Tamandua tetradactyla: one gene and its partners. The protein of the gene in region 3 interacts with the protein of the main gene of each other region in a pairwise test. Links are inferred from orthologs where the notes say so. Each region holds a gene or a part of one and is shown on either strand. Other genes may lie near its edges. The genes, in order: SDSL, LZTR1 and TUBGCP4.

The links.
Region 1: the proteins of TUBGCP4 (region 3) and SDSL interact in a two-hybrid assay, tested with the Homo sapiens proteins (2 studies listed by BioGRID and IntAct). The two-hybrid records come from large-scale screens. The link is inferred for Tamandua tetradactyla from reciprocal best matches to the Homo sapiens genes TUBGCP4 and SDSL.
Region 2: the proteins of TUBGCP4 (region 3) and LZTR1 interact in binary tests that used the Homo sapiens proteins (3 or more experiments, as listed by UniProt). The link is inferred for Tamandua tetradactyla from reciprocal best matches to the Homo sapiens genes TUBGCP4 and LZTR1.

What each region holds. Positions count from the first base shown.
Region 1 is NC_135331.1:14,093,592-14,101,189, reverse strand, and holds the start of SDSL (serine dehydratase-like), read right to left. Parts: upstream 4,818-7,598; 5' UTR 4,748-4,817; intron 631-4,747; 5' UTR 628-630; coding exon 457-627; intron 310-456; coding exon 278-309; intron 1-277. UniProt on the Homo sapiens protein: Catalyzes the pyridoxal-phosphate-dependent dehydrative deamination of L-threonine and L-serine to ammonia and alpha-ketobutyrate and pyruvate, respectively. Also exhibits racemase activity towards L-glutamate and D-glutamate.
Region 2 is NC_135331.1:26,806,519-26,814,116, reverse strand, and holds the start of LZTR1 (leucine-zipper-like transcriptional regulator 1), read right to left. Parts: upstream 4,655-7,598; 5' UTR 4,343-4,654; coding exon 4,143-4,342; intron 3,704-4,142; coding exon 3,641-3,703; intron 714-3,640; coding exon 657-713; intron 1-656. Other genes in the region: AIFM3 (apoptosis-inducing factor 3), read right to left, coding at 5,524-5,563, 6,288-6,392, 6,873-6,948, 7,140-7,238. UniProt on the Homo sapiens protein: Substrate-specific adapter of a BCR (BTB-CUL3-RBX1) E3 ubiquitin-protein ligase complex that mediates ubiquitination of Ras (K-Ras/KRAS, N-Ras/NRAS and H-Ras/HRAS).
Region 3 is NC_135340.1:57,628,802-57,636,399, reverse strand, and holds the start of TUBGCP4 (gamma-tubulin complex component 4), read right to left. Parts: upstream 4,851-7,598; 5' UTR 4,576-4,850; coding exon 4,498-4,575; intron 1-4,497. Other genes in the region: ZSCAN29 (zinc finger and SCAN domain-containing protein 29), read left to right, coding at 6,039-6,356, 6,825-7,029. UniProt on the Homo sapiens protein: Component of the gamma-tubulin ring complex (gTuRC) which mediates microtubule nucleation.

The DNA of each region.
Region 1 (7,598 bases), on a different chromosome or scaffold from region 3:
ATCTGAGGACTTTTCAGCTCTCAGGGCCTGTAAATTCCCTATTAGTTTACACCTGCATGGACTGGGTTTCTGTCCCTTGCTGCCAAGAGCCCTGGGCGATGGGGAGGGGGCAGGAGATGCACAGGAGGCAGGCGTCTCGGGCTCTGACCGGGTGAGACTTGACCCTTGAGAGCAGGCTGAGCCCTGAGCACCTGCTGCTCCTCCCAGATTCTCCTCCCTGACCCCACCCCGAGGACCTGCTCACAGCCCACAGGAAGGGGTGGGCTCACCTGAGGAGCACACCAGGTGTCTGCACCCCTTCTGGGCCACCTGGAAAGAGAGAGGGCCAGCCTGGTGTGGGGTAATTGGCCCGCACTCTCCCAGGCCCCCAATGCACCGCGCCTCCATCCTGCCCACAGCCCGCACCCCCTCCCTCCTGTAACCTCCCCCACCTCCCCTCCTGCCCCGTGCCCTCACCTCCTGGCAGAAGTGCCCAATGCCCCGGATCTTGAAGGACCCGGCCGGCTGCACATTCTCGCACTTGAGGAAGACAGTTGTGCCCGCCACCTGGGACAGCGCCCAGCTCTCCAGCAGAGGCGTGACCACGTGGAAGGGCCCCCGCTGGGCAGGGTCCTCCATCCCAGCCATCGCCTGTGGGACACAGAAGACTTGTGCAGGCAGCTCTAGCCATGGGACCCTCAACCGGGGCCGCGGAGGGGAAGGTGGGGGCCCCTCAGCTTGGTCTCCCTGAGCTCCGTCGGGCTGCTGGGCTGCGAGACTGCGAGGACCTGCCCCTTTCTGGGCCTCCGTGTCCATATCTGGAAGGGGTTTGGACCAGGGCCCCTTTTGTTCCATAACGGTAGCTGCCCACAGTGCTGGGAGTGGAGAGCGTGACCAGTACGTGGTCATGAATGCATGAGGGAGTGGAGGCCATATCCGTCTGTCCGCCCGCCCACCCACCCTATACTGAGCACGTTATGTACCAGGTGGTTCCAGGCTTGGTGCCCAGGAGTGGGCAAGCTTTGCCTGAGCTCATGTTTGTAGCTGGGGAGACAGAATCACAGAACTTCAAATAGGAGTGACTTGGGAGTGGATGGTATTTTAGCTAGAGAGGGACACTTTAAAAAAAAAAAACTTGTATTATGGAAAAGAGGTGAGAACTATATCACAGCCTCCTGTGTAGGGACCCAACAATCATCGATTCATAGGCTATGTTGTTTCAACCACATCTGTGCAAATGCCCCTTCCTGTAGTACTGTGTTTTCCTTCCTTTATTATTATTTTATTTTCCTCCTGTATTCTTTTATCAGTAAATATTTCTATATCTCTAAAAGACATTTTTTTTAAAAAAAGTACTCACACGATTTCACAACTGTATACATTTGTCCAAACACATTGAATTCTACCCTTAAGATGGGCCAATTTTATTGACTTTCAATTATACCTTGACAATGCTATTTTTTAAAATATATAACCATGATGCAATTATCACACCTAAAAATATTAATAGCTTCTCAATATCATCAAATATCTGGTAATTGTTCAAACTTCCAGTTCTCTCATCAATGTGATTAAAGTGGTGGTTTTTGGTTTTTGACAGTTTGAATCGGGATGTGAATACAGTCAGTGCATTCTGATTGGTTGATAGGTTTTTAAAATTTCTTTGATCTGTATGTTCTCAAGAGGGGAAACTTGAGATGAATGAAAACGAGAAGCAGGCCAACTACCCCGCCCCCTCCACCGCCATGTGGGACGTGACTCCCGCGGGGATAAATCTCTTGGGGAATGAGGTGGGACCTGTCATCTAGGGATTGAGAAAGCCTTCTTGACCAAAAGGGGCAAGGGAGAAATGAGACAAAATAAAGTGTCAGTGGCTGAGAGATTTCACAGAGTCGAGAGGTTATCCTGGATGTTATTCAAACGTATTATATACGTACCCCTTTTTAGTTTATGGTGTATTGAAGCGGCTGGAGGGAAGTACCTGAAACTGTTGCGCTGTCTTCCAGTAGCCTTGATTCTTGAAGATGATAGTATAACTATATGGCATTTACAGTGTGACCATGTGATTGTGAAAACCTTGTGACTGAAACTCCCTTTATTTGGGGTCTGGACAGATGAGTAAAAAAATAAGAACAAAAAAATGAATAATATGGGAAATAAGGTGTAAAATGAAAAAAGGATAGGTGGAAGTACTAGTGGTCATGAGAGGGAGGGTAAGGGGTTTGGGATGTATGAGTTTTTTCCTTTCATTTCTTTTTCTGGAGTGATACAAATATTCTAAATATGATCGTGGCGATGCATATACAACTATGTGGTGATGTTGTGAGCCACTGATTGTACACTCCGGATGGGCTGTTTGTGAAGATTTATATATGTATATATAGCAGCCAAGGGAGGGTACTCCTGCAGAGGGAACACAGGTAGGAACACTTCGCGGGAGAAATGCACTTGGGGTGCTGCCGGCGCAGGAGGACAAGTGGCTGGGGCGGGAAGGGGCTGGGTGGCGGGCTGGGTGGGTGTTCTGTGAGAAGGAGGGTGGAGGTTATTCTGGTTCCTCTTGGAATGGGAGCCATTGGGAAGTTTAAGCCATGGAGAGAGGGGTGAGTAGGTGAGTGAATGAGTAAATGAACCAATGAGAAGTTGCAAGAAGGAGAGAAGGAGGAAAGGAGAAGGCAGGGAAAAAGAAGGAATTTTTAAAAGAAGCGAAACCAAGCCCACTTTTCTCTCTGGGGCAGTGGTCTTTGGCCAGCCCCCGCAGTTCCACTTTAAGCCACCAGGGAGCGCTCCGTGGCCACTACATGCACGCGCGCGTGCGCACACACATACGCACACATATACACACACAGACGCCCAAGCTTCTGGAGTCCCCTGATCAATGAAGTTCCCTCCTCCCACCAGGGGATCTGACCCCCTTGTCAGGGTGGCTCGGGGCCTCCCCAGACAGGGTGAAGCCTGAGTCACCCCTGCCCAGTCCCATCCGGGGCACTTCTGGGCTGGATATAAGAGGAAGGGGCACAGGTCACCGCTCGTCCCCAACCCAGCATAACCTCCACCTCAACCATGGAGTCCCAGGGTATGGATTTTGGGGTCAAGCATAAACTAAAGTTAGAAACCAGCTCTGACTTTCTGGCTGTGTAACCTGGACAAGTGTCTCAACCACTCTGTGCCTAGGTTTCCCTGTTTGTAAGATGGGATAGTAACCATCCCAACCTCTTCAGCTGGAATGCAGATTGATAATAACAACAGCCACCATTTCTTGGGCCCCTCCTGTGTACCAGGCATGGTCTGAGTCCTCTGCAGAGGGTACCTCTGTGAGGACTTCTAACACCAGGCACACGTCTTCAATGTTGCAGGTTTATAAGGTACCTATGAGGTGCAGCATCCTAGGCACAGGGGAGACCATGGTGAACAAGACACCAGGTTCTGCTAAAAAGATGGTTTGCAGTGTGATGAGGAGAATAGCACTTAACTAATAACTGTATAGACAAACAAAATAATTAGAAACGGTGAAAACTTCTAAGAAGGAAACAAGTATATAAGAAGCCATGAAAGAGAAAAACAAAGGGATGTACTTTGGGCAGGGAGGTCAGGAAAGGCCTCTTAGAATTGGTGACCATAGAATTGGTGACCATTATACAGAGATCTGAAAGATGAGAACGAACTAGCCATACCAGAGACTGGGTGAAGAAGCCATACATCAAAGGGCATTGGGAAAATTAAGGGAAGCCATGTAGCAAAAGCCCCAACTCTCTGTGTGACATATTATCATAAGAGGTAATAGTTGTGTGGGACTTACTGGGAGCTGGCGCTGTGCTAAGCACCTTGTATATTATCTCTTTTAATCCTCCCAACCACTCGATGAGATATTATTAACTGCATTGTAGAGACAATGAAACTGAGACCCAGAGAGGTTAAGTAACTTGTCCAAGGTCACACAGCTACAAATGGCACAGCCAAGATCCAGCCCAGGCAGTCTGGCTTTGGTGTCTGTGCTCCTAACCACTATACTTCCACTATTACTATTAGTGTTATTGTTAGATTATTATTTTTAAAGGTGTCAGTATTTAATAATTATTGCCAGTTATCCTCAGTCCCCAGGCTGCTCCAGTTCTCTTGGCCATACCGGCTTCCCACGAGAGGACAGTGGGCATCAGTTAAATAAGCAAGCTTTGGCAAGCCCAAATCCCATCAGGGGCCCAGGCCTCCCCGACCTCATTGGTGGAAGTTGGGGATTAGGTGTGTCCCATTCTGAGGTCTGGGGCTGAGCTCTTGGTGGTTGCAGCAGCCATAGAGGCTGTGCTAAGAGCCTTAGGTCCTCTGGGCGTGGAATAAGGCAGAGGGCAGCCCAGGGCCTGGGCTCAGGGCCCTTCTCTGCATAACCTTGGCCAAGCCACATTTCCTCTCTGGACCTTGCTCGCCTCATTGGTAAATTAAAGTGAAAAAAAAAGGCCACCACCTACTCGTTCCACTTTCCTGGTCCCTAAGGCCTTTCCTGAGAGGCCACCTGGCTGACCCCATGCCACAGCCTGATCCCAGGTGTCAGGCCGGGGAAGCCCCAAGCTGGCCTTTGGGCCCCTCAGTGTCCCTGGTGACTGGCTGGCTTCTCCAGGCAGGCTGGGCACAGGGCACCCTGTTTGCCCCGAGGTTCCTGGAAGGCTCAGCCACACTCATCCCCTTTCACTTCCTGTCCATTCACCTGGACTGTGCCCCAGAGCCGCTCAGACCACCACCCCCTCCCACTCCCACAGCTGAGCCCAGGTCCCCTTACCTCCCTGCTTGACAGTCCCCAGATCAGCGTGGGTCCTGCACACCTGCTGGGCACCGGCCGCTCCCTGCAGCCCCAGCCTCTCCTCCCACTTAAAGGGACAGTGCTCAGCTCTAAGCCTTGGGCTGCGGAGACAGCAGAAGGAAGGAGACGAGAAGCAACCCTCGCTGCCCGCCCTGGTGCTACCCAAGTGCATTACCCGGTCCCATTAGACAAGTGAGGAAACTGAGGCTGAGCCCACCCAGACAGCAGGGCAGAGCCAGCCTTTGCCCCGACCCCGGACCACCCCTCTCATGCTACAGACATCTTCCCATCTTCTTACTCCAAGTCCATCCCAGATGCCAAGTGTCCCCCGGGCCACTGTTGGGGACAGCTTAGGTGTCAGGGGTGGAGGAAAATGACGGCAAGAAGTCACGAATTATTATTTGTCACGTGAGAAAGGCATCTTTTTTTCTGAAGTATTTTTCCATCTCTGATATTTTATATCCAACGTAAGAACCCAAACAAATATTTATTGTTCCAATGAATGACTCTGAGCATTCGTTCATTCAGCAAGTCTTTATCGAACACCTACTACGTGCCAAGCCCTGGGACACAGCTCAAGCAAGACAGTGTGTCCCCTGCCCTCCCGACGCCCTCACGGGGCCAGTGACGAGCAATTACATTTGGGGCTATGCCATCGGGCGGTGCCTGGTGACGGGGCTGCGGGTACCCTGAGCTAGCCGTGGAGGCTGGGAAGGTCTCCTGGAGGAGGGCAAGTCTGCGCTGAGCCAGGAACAGGCACATGAAGTCCAAAGGTCTGGGATTTGAAAAACATGGTGCATTTCAGGGACAGAGTGCTCAGTGGGAGCAGAAGAGAGAAGGAGGGCTGGAGAAGCAAGGGGTTTTGGGGCAGGAGAGCTGGGCAGGGGCCAGAGTCCACAGGGACTCCTGTGCCAGTTCAGAGCCTGGAACTTACCTGGAGGAAATAGGGAGCCACAGAAGGCTTTAGGCAGGGGAGTGACATGATCAGATTCACGTCTCTGTCACCGCCTCACTGAGCCAGTCACGCCCTCCTCTGGGCCTCAGTTTCCCCATCTATAAAGCAGGAGGTGAGGCCCAGGAAAGACCTGGAGTATGGACGTTCTGTGTCCTTCTTGGCCCACGTGTGACCTCCCCGGGTTCAATGAGTAACTCCTTGGGGTCAAGTGGAACTGCCTGGTCATGAACCTTAGTAAGGACTGTGCGACTTCAGACCCATCCGCACGCTACAAACACCCTGAGTGGGTGCTTTGGCGGCACAGATACTAAAACTGGAATGATACAGAGATTAGCGTGGCCCCTGTGCAAGGATGACACGCAAATTTGTGAAGAGTTCCATATTCAGGGGGAGAAGCTAAGACTATCCATAACGAGACCTAGGAGTTGCTTCCAGGAAACTCTGTTTGTTGCTCAGATGTGGCCTCTCTCTCTCTCTCTAAGCCCAACTCTACAAGGAAAATCATGAGCCTCCGCCCTGCACGGTACAAGCCATTCAGGGGTGAAAGTCTCCCTGAAAACGTGGGGCGTGACTCCCCGGGGGCGAGCCTGGCCCTGGCGCAATACCTTCCTGACCAAAAGGGGGAAAAGAAGTGTAATAAAATAAGGTATCAGTGGCCAAGAGAGATCAAATGAGGTCAAGAGGCTATTCTGGAGGCTTCTCTTATGCAAGCTTCAGTGAGATAGTGCTGACTGCCATGGTTTGCTAAACCCCAACCAACATCACTCCTGTTGACTCTTAAGAACACCTAAGGCTCAAACTGAGGCTCTATAAATGTTCCATGCACTAGGTTTGCCTTCCTGGAACCTATAATTCCTAAGTCTGATAAATCCTGAAACCCAGAGGGACCAGCCTCTCCAGAATTATCAACTAATTTCATCCCCTATTCTTTACTGTGGACATCCCTTCTCCACATGAAAAAGTCAGAACAGGCATTGCCCAAGATCCCTATAGATTGGGAGAAGGATTAAACGAGAAGGAGGAGGTATAACAGAGAAAATGGGATTTAACAAATGAGTATGGCTGGGGAATCACTATTTTAATATTCTAGAACACTGGAGGCTAGAAGGAAAAATCTGAGATGGTAGAATGGTAGCCCATGGCAAACTCTGGGATCTGTTCTTGTTGAGTGTGCTTTGAAAATTATTCCTGTTTTATTTGTTTGCTTTGTATATATGTTATATTTTACAGTAAAGAACATTAAAAAAACAACCCACCGTGAGCCTTGTCAGGTGTCCTGTCCTGGACTGGGTGCTGGGAACCCAAGGGTGATGGAACCCAGTTTACGTCCTGAGGTGACCTCCAGCCTAGAGGAGTGAGGCACCCAACCCACTTGTAACTCTAACACCCCCTTGGAGGACAGAGGGCAGAAGTTCTCCAGCAGGTAACTGGGGTATGAAATCAGGCTGGGCTTCCTGGAGGAGGTAGAGCTTTAGCACACAGCTCAAGCGTGGGCAAGAAGCAGAACTGCTACATTTATTGCATGCCTGCTGTATGCCACATCCATTCGTGCTGGTTAGCATATCCCAGCATATTTTTTAAATAGTTGGGTCTTTCTTTCTGTGTTAGGGAATATATTATCATATATATAATATCAAACCTATAGTTTCCCAGATTTTGCTTAGGAAGAAACTAAAGCAGGCATTAATATTTTAAAAGGGAGTCTGTTTCAAAAAAAAAATATTAAGTAAATGTTAATAGTTTCAAGCATGGAGTTGACCCAGTAGAGCATGAACTAGTGGTTAGAACACAGGCCTTGCCTTGGTTTCCTCAACAGTAAGATGGAGATAAAATATTACTAGAATTTTAGCCATGTGACAATTATTTAAGGTAATC
Region 2 (7,598 bases), on a different chromosome or scaffold from region 3:
GTGTCAAGGGGGATGGTGAGACCCCACCCAGGGGGGTTGCGGGGGGCCATGCGGGCTGTGTGCAGAGCTCCTCCCCCAAATACAAGGGGCTTCTGTGGGTCTGGGGATGCTGGCAGTGGTCAGTAGGAAGCCTGTTCCCTCCTAATCCCGGGACCCACATCTTCGCCTTCACTGTCAACTGCTCCTGGACAGAGGCTGGACAGGAGCCAATGGACCCAAACAGCCAGTAGCTCAGAGAGGGCAGGTATGGTGCCCAAGGCCACACAGCTGGGAAGGGCATGTGAGGGAGGGGGGAGGCCCATGTCGGGGTCTCCTGGGGTGAGACAGGGATCCACAGCTGCCAGCACCCGGGTGGCACAGGATGGCATGGGGGTCAGCCCTGGCAGGACCCCGCTCAGCCAGCAGATCCCGCGGCAGCCCCAGGACCCCGAGATTGGCCTGGGGGCCTGGGCTGGGGCAGAGCTTGCAGATCTGCAACTGGACCAAACTTACCAACCGCAGCCTTAGACTGGAAAGGAAACCCAGGGGACAGGGGGAAATCCTAAAAGTGGCCTGGACACAGCATCCCGGGAACCATCCTCTCCTTCTGACCTGCGGGAGCTGGTTCTGGGAAAGATGGGAGTGGGAGGGGGGACCCTGGGGTGCCAGCCACCCACCTGCACCAGGAGCAGTCCTTCACGTCAAAACGCAGCAAGTCATTGAGCATGGTCTTCCTGAAAGAGGCACACGGAGTGTTTTGGGACCCCAGACACTGGGCACTGCAGGTGGGGGAGGGATTGGGGGGCTGCTTCATCAGTGAACCCCAACAACTGAGACTCCCCAGCTGGAACTCCAGCCCATGCTGAGTCGAGAGACCAGGATACGGCCTGGAACCGTGCCACCACCATGCAGCCCCCTTACCCACAAGCTCCAGGGAGACCCTCCTTGGCTTCTCTCATGACCCTCTGGCCAACCCTTTAGGATCAAAATGTGATAGCTGACACGTGTCACCACTTGGGTGAGCCCTGAGGGCTTCCTGGTGGGTGAAATAAAGCCAGACCCCACAGGGGACAGACACTGTGCAAATTTGGAGTCAGAAATCAGAATGCAGGGTGCCAGGCACCAGGATGGGGCTGGAGGAATGGGGGGCTCTGGCTTAATGGGTACAGAGTTTCTTTTTTTGGAGAGGGCAATGGAAAAGGTGTGGTCGTGGACAGTGGCCTAGAAGTGGCACCAATGCCACTGGGCTGTGTCCCCGAAGTTGGCTCAACTGGGATATCTCACATCGTGTATATATATATATATTTTTGGGGGGGGTGGGTGGGCAGGCACTGGGAGGACTCTGCCTGCTGAGCCACCATGCCCCACCACATGTATATATTTTTACACAAGGAAAACTTAAAAAAAAACAACAGCAAAGAAACCAAAACTATGAGACGATGATGCTAAAGATACGGATAAAGGGATGAAGAACCTACTGGCCGCTGCCTCAGCCTCATTGTCTTCCCGGAAAAGAGTGGATGGGGACCCCAAGAGCCAAGCATCCCCGACTGCACAGCCGGCGCTCCCTTCACTTGCCTCCTTCCACCTGCACCCACCCAGAACGGGGTGCTCTCCACCTCCAGAGATGGTCCCCCGCTCCCAAGTTCCAGGAGGGGAAACTAAGGCTGGAGGACAGGCAGCTAGGTGATCCCACCTGCAGCCCCCACACCCCCCAGGCCATTTTCCTTTGTACCCAGCTAGCCTTACAAAGTTGCAGCTCAAAATAAAGATACATTTGTATCCTTTTTTCTGAGTGTCACATTATAGCAAGCATGTTTCTGCTCCTTGCACAAAACTCTAATGTCTAAAGGACTGGCACCCCTGTACCCCACTTCCACTGCCCAGGGTGGGCACTGCAGCTTTCTATGGTTTGGGGGGGGGGATTCTCCTTAAAGTGCCAATAAATGCCTGCAGACCCTGAAATATCATTTATTCCTCGTCTGGGCCATGGGGTGCCATGCACAAAGTACCACCCTGCGTCGGTGGAGCTGACATTCCAGCAAGGAGGATGGAGGGGTTGGAAGGGGCTGGGAGGCCATTCAAGGCCTTGCTCCTGAGCTGCACAGAGGAGGGCAGGGGAAGGAGGGACAGGGGTAGGCCGGGTGGACACCTTGAGGGAAAAGCATTCCAGGCAGAGGGGAACAGCCAATGCAAAGGCCTCAGACAGGACGGTGCTCGGCACAATCAAAACGCAGTATGGCAGCTGGTGCAGCTACAGTGCAGCAAAGGGATGTGTGAGAGAGGCAAGAGCAGAGGACCTCAGGAATTGCTACAAAGATTTTGGCTTTTACTCCAAGGAAGGCAGGAAGGTATCTCAGGGTTGTGAGCTGGGGAGGGATGCGCTGTGGCTTGCATTTTTAAACGGGTCTCTCTTGCTGCTCATGTGGGGAGATGGGGTGGAAGCCAGGAGCCCCCCAAGTCAGCTCCCTGGGGGAGCCCTGAAAGACCTAGGCATGCAGTGCCAATCAGGTCCTGGGGCTGAAAGGTGGGAGCAGGACTCAAGGGCAGGATCGGCTGCAAAAACTCTCCCTCCTCTGTGCTGGGCCTCATGGCCACATGCTCCCTGACCCTTGGGGGTGTCAGCAGGACAGCTACCGCCCCACAGACAGAGGAAGCCAAAGCACACTTGGCGTGGTTACGCTTCCTGCCTGACCCCCAAGCCACAAGGCTCTAATTTGAGCTGAGCCCTGCCCATCCAACAGACTAAGCTTCAGCCCCGCCTCTGGGTGACTCCCATCCTTGCCCAGATTCCTGGTGTCCTTGGGCTTTTCTCCTGAGCACGACGAATGAATGGATGAGTTAGGGAAGGGGGGAAGGCCCTGTGTGGTCATCGGGCCTTGCCACACTGTTCCTGACCTATCCTCTCTCTGCCTGGAAGTCCCTTCCCTCCTTTGCCTGCCTCCTAAAACTTAGTAGCCTGCCTACTAATTTTTCAGGTCATCATCCCTTCTGGTAAGATTTCCCTAACCAAATCAGAACTCTACTTCCCTTGCCCAGAACAGCACCCCCACCCAGTAAGTGACATGGCCCAGCACACGCTGAGACAAGCTCCTCTCTCTTCAAAGGTCCAGCTCCCGAGGTAGGCAGTGGCTACATAAGGCAAAGATTTCCCTTTGCTGTGATCGTTTACTAAGGAAAACTGGCCGCATTGTAGGAGGGGTGCAGAGGTGTCCCACCAACAGGACCTCAGATCACTGCCAGGAAGGCTACTTGCCGGGAGTTTATAACAACGTAGGAAGATCCTCACCGAAAGTGAAAAATGCAGGAAATAAAGCCGTGTCCTCTGTGCCTTCTCAGCTGCAACATGTGCTGCTGGGCAAGTCCCAGAGGGAGGGCAGGGAAGGAAAACTACCTGGTGGGGAGGTGACAGCAAGGGCCTACATGGTCCTTTCAAAGCTGTGTCTACTCGCCCAGAACAAGGGGACATTTCTGTGTACTGAGCCTGTATCCCTACTGCATGTGTGTTGCTGGCCTAGGGACAGGCTCTCATTTTATTCTCACCAGGATCTGGGAGGCGGGGCATCACAGATGGGGAGTTGAGCCTTAGCTGAACCCCAAAAGACAGGAGCTCATCCCTGACCACCATGCACCCCCCGCAGTGGTCCCCACACGTCCTCACCCATTGTCTCCACCAAATACGTAGATGGCATCTTTATAAGCCACCACTGTGTGCTTGCTGCGCCTGGAAGAAAAGATGGGGTGGGAGTGGGGGGGGATCGTAAAGTCGGACCCTCCTGGAGGGGGGAGCATCCAAAGGATGAGACCAAGCTAGAAGCCTGCTCCCAAAGTGGGGTAACCCCTCTCACCTTCCTACACCTACTGAGGACCCTAAATTCCACCTGCACCCCCAAATGTAAGGGGCTCCCTGGACCTCCCCACCCTGCCGCAGATCACCCAGGGTCCCAGACCAGACACCCCGAAGCCTGCGCCGTCGGACCCTGCCCTGGGGTCACTTCGTTCTGGGGTCCCCCTCGGCGTCCCCTCCCAGCCCTGGACCCCCTTCCCCCACCCCTCCCCCAAAGACCAGACCCTGCCCCCCGGGACATCAGGTCCAGGCCTCGCCCCTGCGACCCCTTCAGACCACCGTCCGCCCCCAAGGACCCCCCTGATCCCGCCCGTACCGAGCGCCCACGAACTCGTCGCAGGGCGGGAGGCGCCGCCAGCGATGCACTGTCTCAAAAGGCCCGAAGTTGAGCGTCAGGTACTCCACGCTGTCGGAGCAGCTGTGATCGAAGTCCACGCTCGGGGCCACCTTGGACCGCGCGCCGCCGGCCAGGGCCCCGGTCCCGATCGGGACCCCCGAGACGCCGGGCCCAGCCATCCCGGGTCGGCGGGATGTGCGGCCACCGCCCGGGTCCACTCGACGGGACTACATTTTCCGGCTCGCCCTGCGCCCACGGCGCGACACTTCCGGCCGGCGCTACCGCACTTCCGGACAGGCCTAGCTGGGCTTGGACACCACGGACGGGCGCGGCACTGGGCTGCGGCCGGGTCTTCCCTGCGACCGTGTGCGGCAGCCTTCCGGCGAAGTACGGGCGCCCGAGACCCGCTTCTAGTGAACGCGGAGCCTCCGCCGCCAGCCCTGTGTGCCTACACTTCCCCGGAGCCCGCCAGGCCCCCGCCGCGGAGGGTCTGCAGTTTCCGGTGTCCCACGCCCTAGACCTTCCGCCGCTCCCGGCATCCCGGAGGGAAGGTTCCGGCCTCACAGCGGCCCCCCCGGCCCCGTGGTCTCCCCTTTGTGTTCTCGTTGGCTCGGGGGCAGCATGGAGCAGCGAAAAGAGCAGGGCCTCTGGATTCCCATTCTTCCTCTGCCATCTACTGGCAGGGTCCCAGAAAACGGAATCTGTCCCAGGATCAGTTCCTGCAGCCCTAGGTGGCAGGTGCCCCCCAAACTGCCAGACATGAGTCTCCCTCTGACCTCTGAAGAAGCATTTCCTTTCTTGAGCCCTCGGCACTCCCCTCTGCCTGGACTGACCTTCCTTCAAAAATCTCCACTCTTTGGGAGAAGCTTTTCCTGACCCCGCAGGCAGAATCAGTTGCTAGCTCCTCTGGGCGCCCCTCAAGCCAAACTTCTTTGGTGAGGCACTGAGAAGTCTGGGGGTGTGCCTGTGTCTTCCCGTGGAGAGCCATGTCCGCTTCTTCCCCCATGAGTGTTTCCCCAATCACACTGGGGGTCACACAGATCTGCAAATGTGTGCATTTTTTATTTTAACGTAATATCTGAGACGTCAAAAGGTCCCGGAGGGGACCAGACCCAAGAGAGGGAGAAGAGGCAGGCCCTGTCCCAACTCCTGTGCCAGCCATCTGTGGCAGCAGAGGCCAGCAGAGGAGAGCCAGGGCATCTCTGGACAGCAGAGACTAGGCAAGGGGAAGGCAAGCGATGGAAGGGATCGAGTTCTGTCCTGGGAGATCCTGGGAAATTGGGAAGTTGGCACCTTCCCCAGGACTTGGCTTCTGTCCCCCGAACCCCGGCCCTCCTGCCCAAGTCTCCTGCATGCGAGCTCAGGAGCCCTTCCCCGTGAGCCAGGACATGTCGCCGGTCCTGCAGGAACAAAAGGAAGAGGAATGAGAGCAGAAAATGAGAGGGTCTCCCACTTTGGGCACCACAAGTAGCTGGCCCTTGAAGACAGCCTGGGGCCTGCTCCATGCCAGGCCTGGTGCCCAGCAGAGGTGTGTACTTGGACAGAGAAGGTAGACCAGAACCCCCTCCGGGAAGGCTCAGAACCCTCAACAGAAAGGACAAAGAAAGACAAACGTACTTGCTGTGCAGCACAAACAGCCTTCGTGAAGGCAAGAGGAAGAGAGAGAGAAGGCCAGGAAGAGGGGATGTCATTCATTGCATCCCCTCTTGGTTCTCATTTCCAAGCTCAGGCCATACACCCCCACGCCCCTCATCCCTGCCCAGTGGCCCCTATCCTCCCCCCACTTCAAGCTTTCCCCAGTCCCTGGGGCTTCTCAGAAGGCACAGGTTGATTCCTATCTGCATTGTGCTAGAGATGTGGGGAGGGGTAGTGGCTGGTGTCCAGAGTCTGCCATGGGTCCCAGGACAGATGACAGTCCAAGAAATGGGCCTTGTCCCATCCCAGAGCCCTGGCTCTGCCCTGGGACACAGCCCTCCCTTTTCCACATCTCCCCCATGAGCACATTTCCCGCTCGGCTCCCAAGCCACAGCCATGCCCCATAGCCCCATCCTGCCCTGAGGCGTGGGAGCTGTGACGGGGCCCCCCTTGTTCTCCCCACCCCAAGGCCTCCATGCCCATACTCACTCCACCTCCCGCTTCCGGATGGCTCGGCCAGAAGCCAGCACCTCGGCCACCTTGGACACAATGGGGTCATAGTTCATGCTGGCCACAGCAATGACCTCATCGCCTCTGTAGGTAGACAATGGCCGGACCTGAGCACTGTCCCACGAGCATCCCCTCCAGTTCCCAAAGGACCCTGACTGACCCTTGTCCACCCAGAGCCCAGGGAGGGGCATGTTCCAAGCATGCAGCTCTCCTGCTTCAGGGCTCCCCTGGGACCCCCATGGAGGCTCCTGGCTTCCTCCTGGGCCTGGCTCCTGTCCTAGAGTCACCATTCTCTCCCTGCTGTCACTTGGGGTGGGGTGTCAACACCTGCCTGGAAGAGCTGTCCTGAAGGTCGAGTGCCGGGCCTCCAGATAGCTATAGGCAACCATTACCCCTGCCTCGTGGCCTTCCTTCTGCAGGACTCCTGCCTCACTTATGTCCACCCCCTTTGCCCCTGGCTCCAGCCATGGGCTGCACCTTCCGGGTAAACCCCCCACTTCTGGAGCACACCTTGTCCCGGAGGAGGCCCCCCTTCCTGACCCATCTCCCGTCCGTTGCACTCACTTGGTGTAAAAGGCCACGAACTTCAGCTCCTCCAGGTCCCCCTGGATGATGACGTCATCGAAGCCTTCCCCATAGCCTGTGGGCCACGTGGAGGGGGTGGGGCTTCTCAGGATCGGGGCCCCGCCCCCTCTCAGGCCCCACCCCCAGCACGGTCCTAGCTGGTGTTTGCTAGTTCTGTCGTGACCCCACCCCCAGATCCTCAGCCCCACCTCCAGGTCCTAGGCTCCGCCCTCAATGCCCAAGCCCCACCCCCAGGCCCTCGGTCACCTGTGTAGCGCAGGCTCTTGCCGAACATGGCCGTCCAGAGGTAGGGGACAGTACTGATCTCTGCCTCCTGTGCCAGCATGTTCTGGGCTGCCACACGACCTGGGGGATCCAGGCCCATGAGATGCCCCCCAGCCTCACTTTCCCTCCTCCCCCTCCACCACTGCCTGACCTGAGCGCCCCCACAGCTCTCTCTCCCCCCCATTGTGGCTCAGCTCACTGCCCACCCACTGTTGCAGCTGGGAGGGGGCACCTGGCTCAAAGCTAACCCATTCCATTCCTTCCCTGCATGGAGAATCTGAATTGAGGTGCCCTGGGGTCCTGTCTACTGTGTACCTGACCAACCAGCCATGTCAGGCTTGAAGAGGGGGACAGATAACAGCACCGAGGGCCCCAGAGAGAGTGGCCATGGGTGGCTGCCCCGCTTCTGCAGGGGTGCTCTGTTGACAGTTCCATAAGCCT
Region 3 (7,598 bases):
CCTTTATTCAGTGTATGGGTAGATGGGTAAGAAAATAAAGACAAAAATAAATAAATAAGAGGGTATGGGATTTTTGGGGGGTGTTCTAAAAAAAAAATTTTTTTTTTGAGTAATGAAAATGTTCTAAAATTGGCTGTGCTGATGAATGCACAACTACATGATGGTACTATGAACCAGTGATTATACACTTTGGATGATTATATAATATGTGACTTTATCTGAAAAAAATTGTATTTTTAAAAAAATGCAATCCTTCCTCCCCAGAGGCAGCCACTGCTATTTATTTCTTATATAGTCATCCAGGGATGGTCTGTAAAGATAATGACATGGCTGCAACAGAGACTCTTTAGCAATGCTGCTCCAACTAGGGTCTGCAGTTTTCAGGGTTTCCTCAGACATATTCTTCTCCCCCTCCCCCCACCCTCATGGGCAGGCACCGAGAATCGAACTTGGGTCTCCAGGATAGCAGGCGAGAACTCTACCTGCTGAGCCACTGTGGCCCACCCTCAGATATATTCTTGAGACTTACAAATTCTCTATGAAATTTTAAATTTTGTTTTCATTTCAATAAAAATCTGAAGTTAATATAAGCATACTGTATGAAGAATCTGTAAAAGCACCTTATAACCAATCATATAAATTTAGTGTCCATATTTGCACTCATATGTTTTAATTTAAATGAAGGCCAAATGATAGCTATATAAAGGTTTTACAGTATTTCATCAAGTAGAAAAAAGTAGTAGGAGAATTTATTCATTCAACTTCTAATGAACACTTACAACCTCCCAGGCACTGTCCTAACATACGAGAAACAATATAGTGAACTAAATCAGATATAGTTACTGTCCCCAAGGAGCTCAGTATATTATATATTCACATTGTAATATATATCGTGCTCTGTGGATGCTGTCTTTAGAAGACAGTAAACGTGGTAATAAATAAACAAAGAAGGAATTTTCTGTTCTTGTTTATAATAATTTGATTACGAATTCATTCAATCATGACATAGTGCCTACCTCATCTTCAGGTTAATAATTTGATGGGTAGCATGGCACACTGTTTAAGAACCTGGTTTTTGGACTCAGCCTGATTGGATATGAATTCCTGTGTTGCCTTTCACTCAAAATTTTAGGCAAGTCACTATCCCTCTCTGTGCTTCAGTTTTCACACCTATAAAGTTGGGATAATAATTGTGAGGATTAAATAAGCTAATAATGTAAAGTATATGTCAAGTGCATAGCAAATACTCAACATGCAAGCAATTTTTATGTGTAAGACAACTCTACCCAGTTTACCCAGTGATACACCTATTAAAATTAGCATTTAAGCACTGCTTGGTGGCAGTTTTAGAAAAGTTCAATGTCTGTCTGATTATTCTGAAAGAACAAAAATCCTTAAAGTTATTGATATCATTTTGTACGACACACTTATATTAACAGGCATTCTTTGAATTAGCATTACTTATGTTCAAACAGAAAAATACAGAGCAGATGTGTCATTCCATTTTTAAACTCAATGTTGACAATTTTGTTTCAGCAAAACAACAGTATATGTCACATTAGATCAGTGGTTCTCAACTTGGTTACTCTCCAAGGGACACTTGGCAATGTCTGAAGACATTTTTGGTTGTCACAACTTGGGGGCTGCTACTGGCATCTAGTAGTGGGTAGGGGCCCAGGATTCCACTAAACAGCTCACAATGCACAGGACAGCCCCCCACAACAATGAATTATCTGGTCCAAACGTGACAATAATGCCAAGGTTGAGAAACTACGCATTAATGTTAATTTGAATTTTACTGATTTAGTAGTTTTGATTATATTTAATTGTAATATTATTTGGCTTTATAGTTAAGAGCAAGCTATGCTTTAGTTTATACATAGCTGTGTGTGTATACATATTCGATATTACAATAAAATAATTTTCATCAACATTGGGTATCCATGACAGTTTTTTCCCCTTTATTCAATTGTAAAAAACACTACTCTGAGAAAGAAAGCAATATTCTCTTTTTTTGGTCACCTTGTTTTCTTCTATAAATATCTAAATACCTACTATGGGGCAGAAGTTGTGCTAGATGCTCCAGGTATAATGATGAAGGCTACCGTGGTCTCTGTTCCATGGGCAATGTATGCAGGGAAAAGGATAAACAGATAAGAACAATAAATAAATCTTAATGATTTGTGGTATTATAAGAGAAATAAACAGGTGGCAGTGATAGAGAACAATAACATAAAAGGAAGATACCTAATTGAAAGAGGTGCCAGGGAAACTTTTTCTGAGGAGGTATCTTTAAAGCTGAGACTAAGAATAAAAAAGAGGAAAGTAACAGAGACTTTTTCATAAAAAAGAAAGGAAGAAGAAAGCTGAATTACTTGTGGTTCCCTTCTCAGCTCCTAGCAGCTACCTCTCCTCTACTCTATTTTAATCTCCTTTTACTTCAGATAGTCAAACATCCAGTAGATACTTAGTGAACATTCTCCGCCTATATGCCTGAAATTGTGCAAAGTTCTATGGAGGAAAAATAAAACACCAATTCAGTCTTCAAAGACCTGTACTAAAAAAGTAACAATTCATGCTCAGATATGACCTCTCTCTCTCTAAGCCCAACTCTGTAAAGAAAATCATTACCCTCCCCCCTATGTAGGACAAGACTCCCAGGGGTGAAAGTCTCTCTGGCAATGTGGGACATGATTCTCAGGGATGACTCTGGCCCTGGCACCATGGAATTGACAATGCCTTCCTGACCACAAGGGGGAAAAAGAAATGTAACAAAATAAGGTATCAGTGGCTAACAGAGCTCAAGTAGAGTAGAGAGGCTATTCTGGAGGCTACTCTTAGGTAACTTTCAGCTAGCTATTGCTAATAGCCATGTTTTGCCAAACTCAATCAACATCATTCCTGTTAACCTAAAAAATATCTAGGCTCTATTTGAGATTCTACGAAAGTTTCACATGTGAACATTACTTTCCAGAAACCTACAATCTCCAGGTAGTTCCTAGGCCAGATAAGACCTGAAACGCAGAGGGGCTAGCCTCTTCAAGAATATCAACGAGTTTCATGCACTTATCCCATATTATCAATACCCTTTCCAGCATGAAAAAGTTAGAATGGGAAGAGCACAAATACTCTTAAAGATTGGGCGAAGGATCAAAGGAGAAGGAGGAGTTACAACAGAGAAGATAGGATTTAACAAATGAGTATGACTACTGAATCACTGTATAGATATTCCTTTTAGTCTTTGGTGTCTTGAAGCAGCTAGAAGGAAAAACCTGAAATTGTTGAACTGTAACCCATACCAAACTTTGAAATCTGCTCAATAACTGCTTGTTACAATGTACTTTGGAATTTATTGCTTTTTTGTATATACAATATACTTCACAATTTTAAAATGTTAAAAAAGTAACAATTCAAACTCTACCATACAAATTTTCAACTCGCTTATTTTTTTAAGGAAACCTCACCTAAATTCCCAACCTGCAAACATAAATTTATAAAAACAAGAGGAATCTGTTTGATTTATACGTTTTATAAACTATAATGTAATTTTTCTGCTCTTCCACAACCTATAACGTCAGTTAACATAATAATGGCACAACTTTGTGACCACACAGACCCAGATTCAATTTGTCACCACTAGGACTCCAGGTATGAAGTTCTGAGCTTCAGCTTGCTCAGTTGTAAGCTGGGGCTCACAATATCTAACTTCTCAAGTGATTGCGAGTACTGGATAACATTAGGGGAAGCAGAAATAGGTAAGAATAGTTCAGATAACTGGAGGCAGAACGACCTGGGTTCAAAGCCAGGCTCTGCTAATTACTAATCAACTACGTGACGCCGAGAGTTACATAATATTGACTCTAGGTTCAGCTGTAAAATAGAGACTGGTGGGTGTGAGGATTAAATGAGATAATGCATATGTAAAATGTCTAACACATAGCACTTCATACAGCCCTGATTACACTTCCACCTATTGCGGAAATTACTCCTTTCCGAGTAATAAGTGGAACACATCAGATGCTCTCATTCATTTCTTCATTCAACAAAATTTGCTGAGCACGTGTCAAGCGCTGTGTATTTGGGCCGGCCTTCAAAATTCAGTTCGAAGCACAGTGCAAGTGTAAAAATGGGAGAAAGTGACTCTTTCACCTTTTTTCCTCCTCCTCTTTCACTTTTACATGCAGTTCTCCAGCTCCTCAGGTTCGGACACTAGACCCTTAGGCCCCTTGAGTCTCACGTCCCCCGCCAGGGTGAGGCCTCTCAGGATCTGCCCTCAGTTTCCCCCAGAACGGCCTCTAACCCGGAGGCCCCTCGGGCATCGGACTCCAGTTACCAGTTCAGGGGCACGCCCCTTCAACCACAGCGCCTGCAAGTCTCGCTTTCTCCACACCCTCAGACTCCACCCCAGGCTCTGGCTCAGGTCCCGGGAATATATGCTCGTTACTTCCCGCGCTCAGGTCCCGGGAATATATGCTCGTTACTTCCCGCGCTCCTTACCTGGAGGCCACTTCGTTTGTTCCAGGTGAAAATGGACCCCGGATACCCGCTCAGAGCCAAAAGCAATTCGTGGATCATTCCCACGGAGGAACGCGAGTCCTTGGATACGTCACCCTCTCCTCCGGCGTCCCTCCAGAAGACCACGGAGGCGACGCTCCCTCCTTGGCGAACGCACAAGCCCGTGAGCGGGAAGGTTCTCCTCAATGAGGCCCACGGATAGAACTGCTGCGGGAAAAGCAGATGGGAAACCCGACAGAGGTCTGCGCGCCGAGCACCGGAAGTGCACGGCGATCCGCCGGGCCAGCCGGCTCTCTAGCTACAGTCTCCGCGGGAGATGGAGGCGCCTTGGCTGCTCGCGCATGCGCCTTTTGTGTCCCGAGTCTCCCGCTCGGACTTCCGGTTTGGGAGCTGGACTGGGAGGCTGGAGAGCTGGGGCTGGGGCCGGACCCGAAGTGGGTGAGGTTGTCCTGGGTAGGGATGCGAGTGGGTTAAAGGACAGCCCCTGAGGGAGACGCTCCCAGGGGTGGGCCGGGGGGGGCGCTCTTAGGGTGCCTTAGGCCGATTGAAGGCCTCTAGAAGGGACTTCACGGGGGCTCCAAAAGTGACCCGGCCAGAGGGAGCCAAGACAAAGAGGCCGGAACCCCTTACCCGCCCCTGCTTAAGCTGAGCCCCGCGCCCGCGAACCCCGCAGCACTCGGAGGCTCTGGTCAGCACCAGAACTCATCATTCCCAGGAAACCCATCACCACTGCCCTCTCCAACTCCTCCACCAACTCGATGTTACTCTCTCCAAGTCTGCTCGGCCTTAGTTTCAGGAGCCTAAGCCAACTTTAGATGCGCATGGTTTCCTTTCAGTAGCTCCCGAGTCCTTGTTGAGCAGTTTACTAATGCTCTGAGGGAGAAACAAAGATCCGATATTCAGTAATTGATTTTTCTCTGGGATGGAAATTGGTAGTTGTGAAGTTGAAAGGGGCGGGGCGGGGCGGGGCGGACTCAGAGGGCCTCAGGGAGGACTGCGAGGGTCCTGGGAGAGATCATCTGCAACCCGCTGGACAGAGACTTTCCATGGCTTTCAGCAGGTCGTGAATTGCCTTTAGATCCTCCCGAGCTCCAAGTCTCCCATATGGTTCAAATTCACTGTCATTGGTCAGGGGAGCTAAATAGTACCAGATAAGGGGGATGTGGGACAGGACCCCACACAATACTATTCTCTGCTGCTTCCCCGGGGCTGTCCTGGACGTCACCCACAAAAGGCAGCTTTTGAAAGGTCCCACTCCTTTATGCTCATAGTGTTGGCTTGCTGCTCTGAAGATGGTGCTACCTCAGATGGCCACTTGGAGCATATGGGAAGTCAGGCCAATCCTGACAAGACTTTAGGCATATAAATATATTCCTTCTGATAGTGCCATCTCTCTCTATTATAGGAACAAACTCCTCTCACAGAGAGAGAGTCTTCTGCAGGTGCTTCTCCAAGGACATGGGAAAATAGGTGTAGGCCCTGGAACCCAGACTTAAGTGGAGGGAAGCTGCTTTCTGCTATGAATGATGGCCAAACCCACTTTGAGAGGGAATGGCACTAACTCTGAGACCTTCCGCCAGCGCTTCAGGAGATTCCATTACCAGGAGGTGGCTGGGCCCCGGGAGGCTTTCAGCCAACTCTGGGAACTTTGCTGTCGGTGGCTAAGGCCGGAGGTGCGCACCAAGGAGCAGATTGTAGAATTGTTGGTGCTAGAGCAGTTCCTGACCATCTTACCTGGGGAGATCCAGAATTGGGTACAGGAGCAATGTCCAGAAAGTGGAGAGGAGGCAGTGGCTCTGGTAGAAGATTTAGAAAGAAAGCCTGGAAGACCTGGACGTTCGGTGAGAAGGGAGAGGGAATTCAGAAATGTGTGATTGGAAAGGGGCAAGGGTAAAGGGCCAGATAAATATATAGATAGTTTTAAAGAAGGGCATAGTCCCTTTTTGCAATTTTAACTGCAACAGGTAAGTTTTTCGGATAGAGCTTGTCTGGAAATTTTACCTGGGTGTACCTTTACCTACCCTGCCATAATGAGTTATTCGTGGTTTCTTACTTAATAGGGAAGACAGAGGGATTTTTCTTTTTCTAGCCTGTAGTTGGGTTTATTGTTTTGATCTTTTCCTTCTAGAGTTCAGCTGCTCTAAGCTAACAGTAATGGAATGAGACCCATGTTCAGTATTATCTCCTCCCCCTATAATCGCAGCCGTGTCCCAGAGGATGCTCTCTTTTGGGGTATTAACTAATCTCCTTTGGGAATGCCCCCCCCCCACTACGACCATGCAGTGACAATTAATGGGGGTTGTTTCTAGGTCACAGTCTCTGTGAAGGGGCAGGAAGTGCGCTTGGAGAAGATGACACCCCTGAAATCATCACGGGAGTTATTAAGTGTTCGGCAGGAGTCAGTGGAACCCCAGTCCAGGGGTGTACCCAAGAAAGAGAGGGCGAGAAGCCCAGACCTGGGACCACAGGAGCAGATGAACCCAAAGGAGAAGCTCAGACCTTTTCAAAGGAGCGGTGAGGAGTAGATTCATGTGGGAAGATAGCATACCATTCTAACTGGGGAAGTAAGGTTGGGAATAGAAAGTGGGAAAGGGATTTCAGGAATAAGTGGAAAATTGTAGAATATGCAGATGTTGGGGACCTCCTGAAGACATGTAATTTAGCCCTCTGCCTACAGTATTTTTATATTTCTACTTTTGATAAATCTGCTAGAGGATGGCTCCATAGTTTTATCAGAATTTGGAACTATTTTATTTCCTTTTGGTAATGATGACAGTGGGTCACTATTTTCTAGATAAAACTTATTTTCTATACTTGAAGACCCAGCTTCTTTTATTCATTTTCCTTCTTCATATAAAACTATATTTGTTGTTTAAGCTTTGCCCCTGAAGCTGAATTCTTCAGACTTAAGTTTTTTTCTTACTCTCCTCTATAACCTTTAAGTTCACCAGATGTCATGTTATTTGTGGAGAACTATTCCAGTGAGTGTCTGGTAGGTAGAGATAGAATGAGAGCTTTTCTTTCACAATTTTGCTACATTTTCTTTTAGTATAGTCCAATTTAGGATTATTTGATCATTCTTG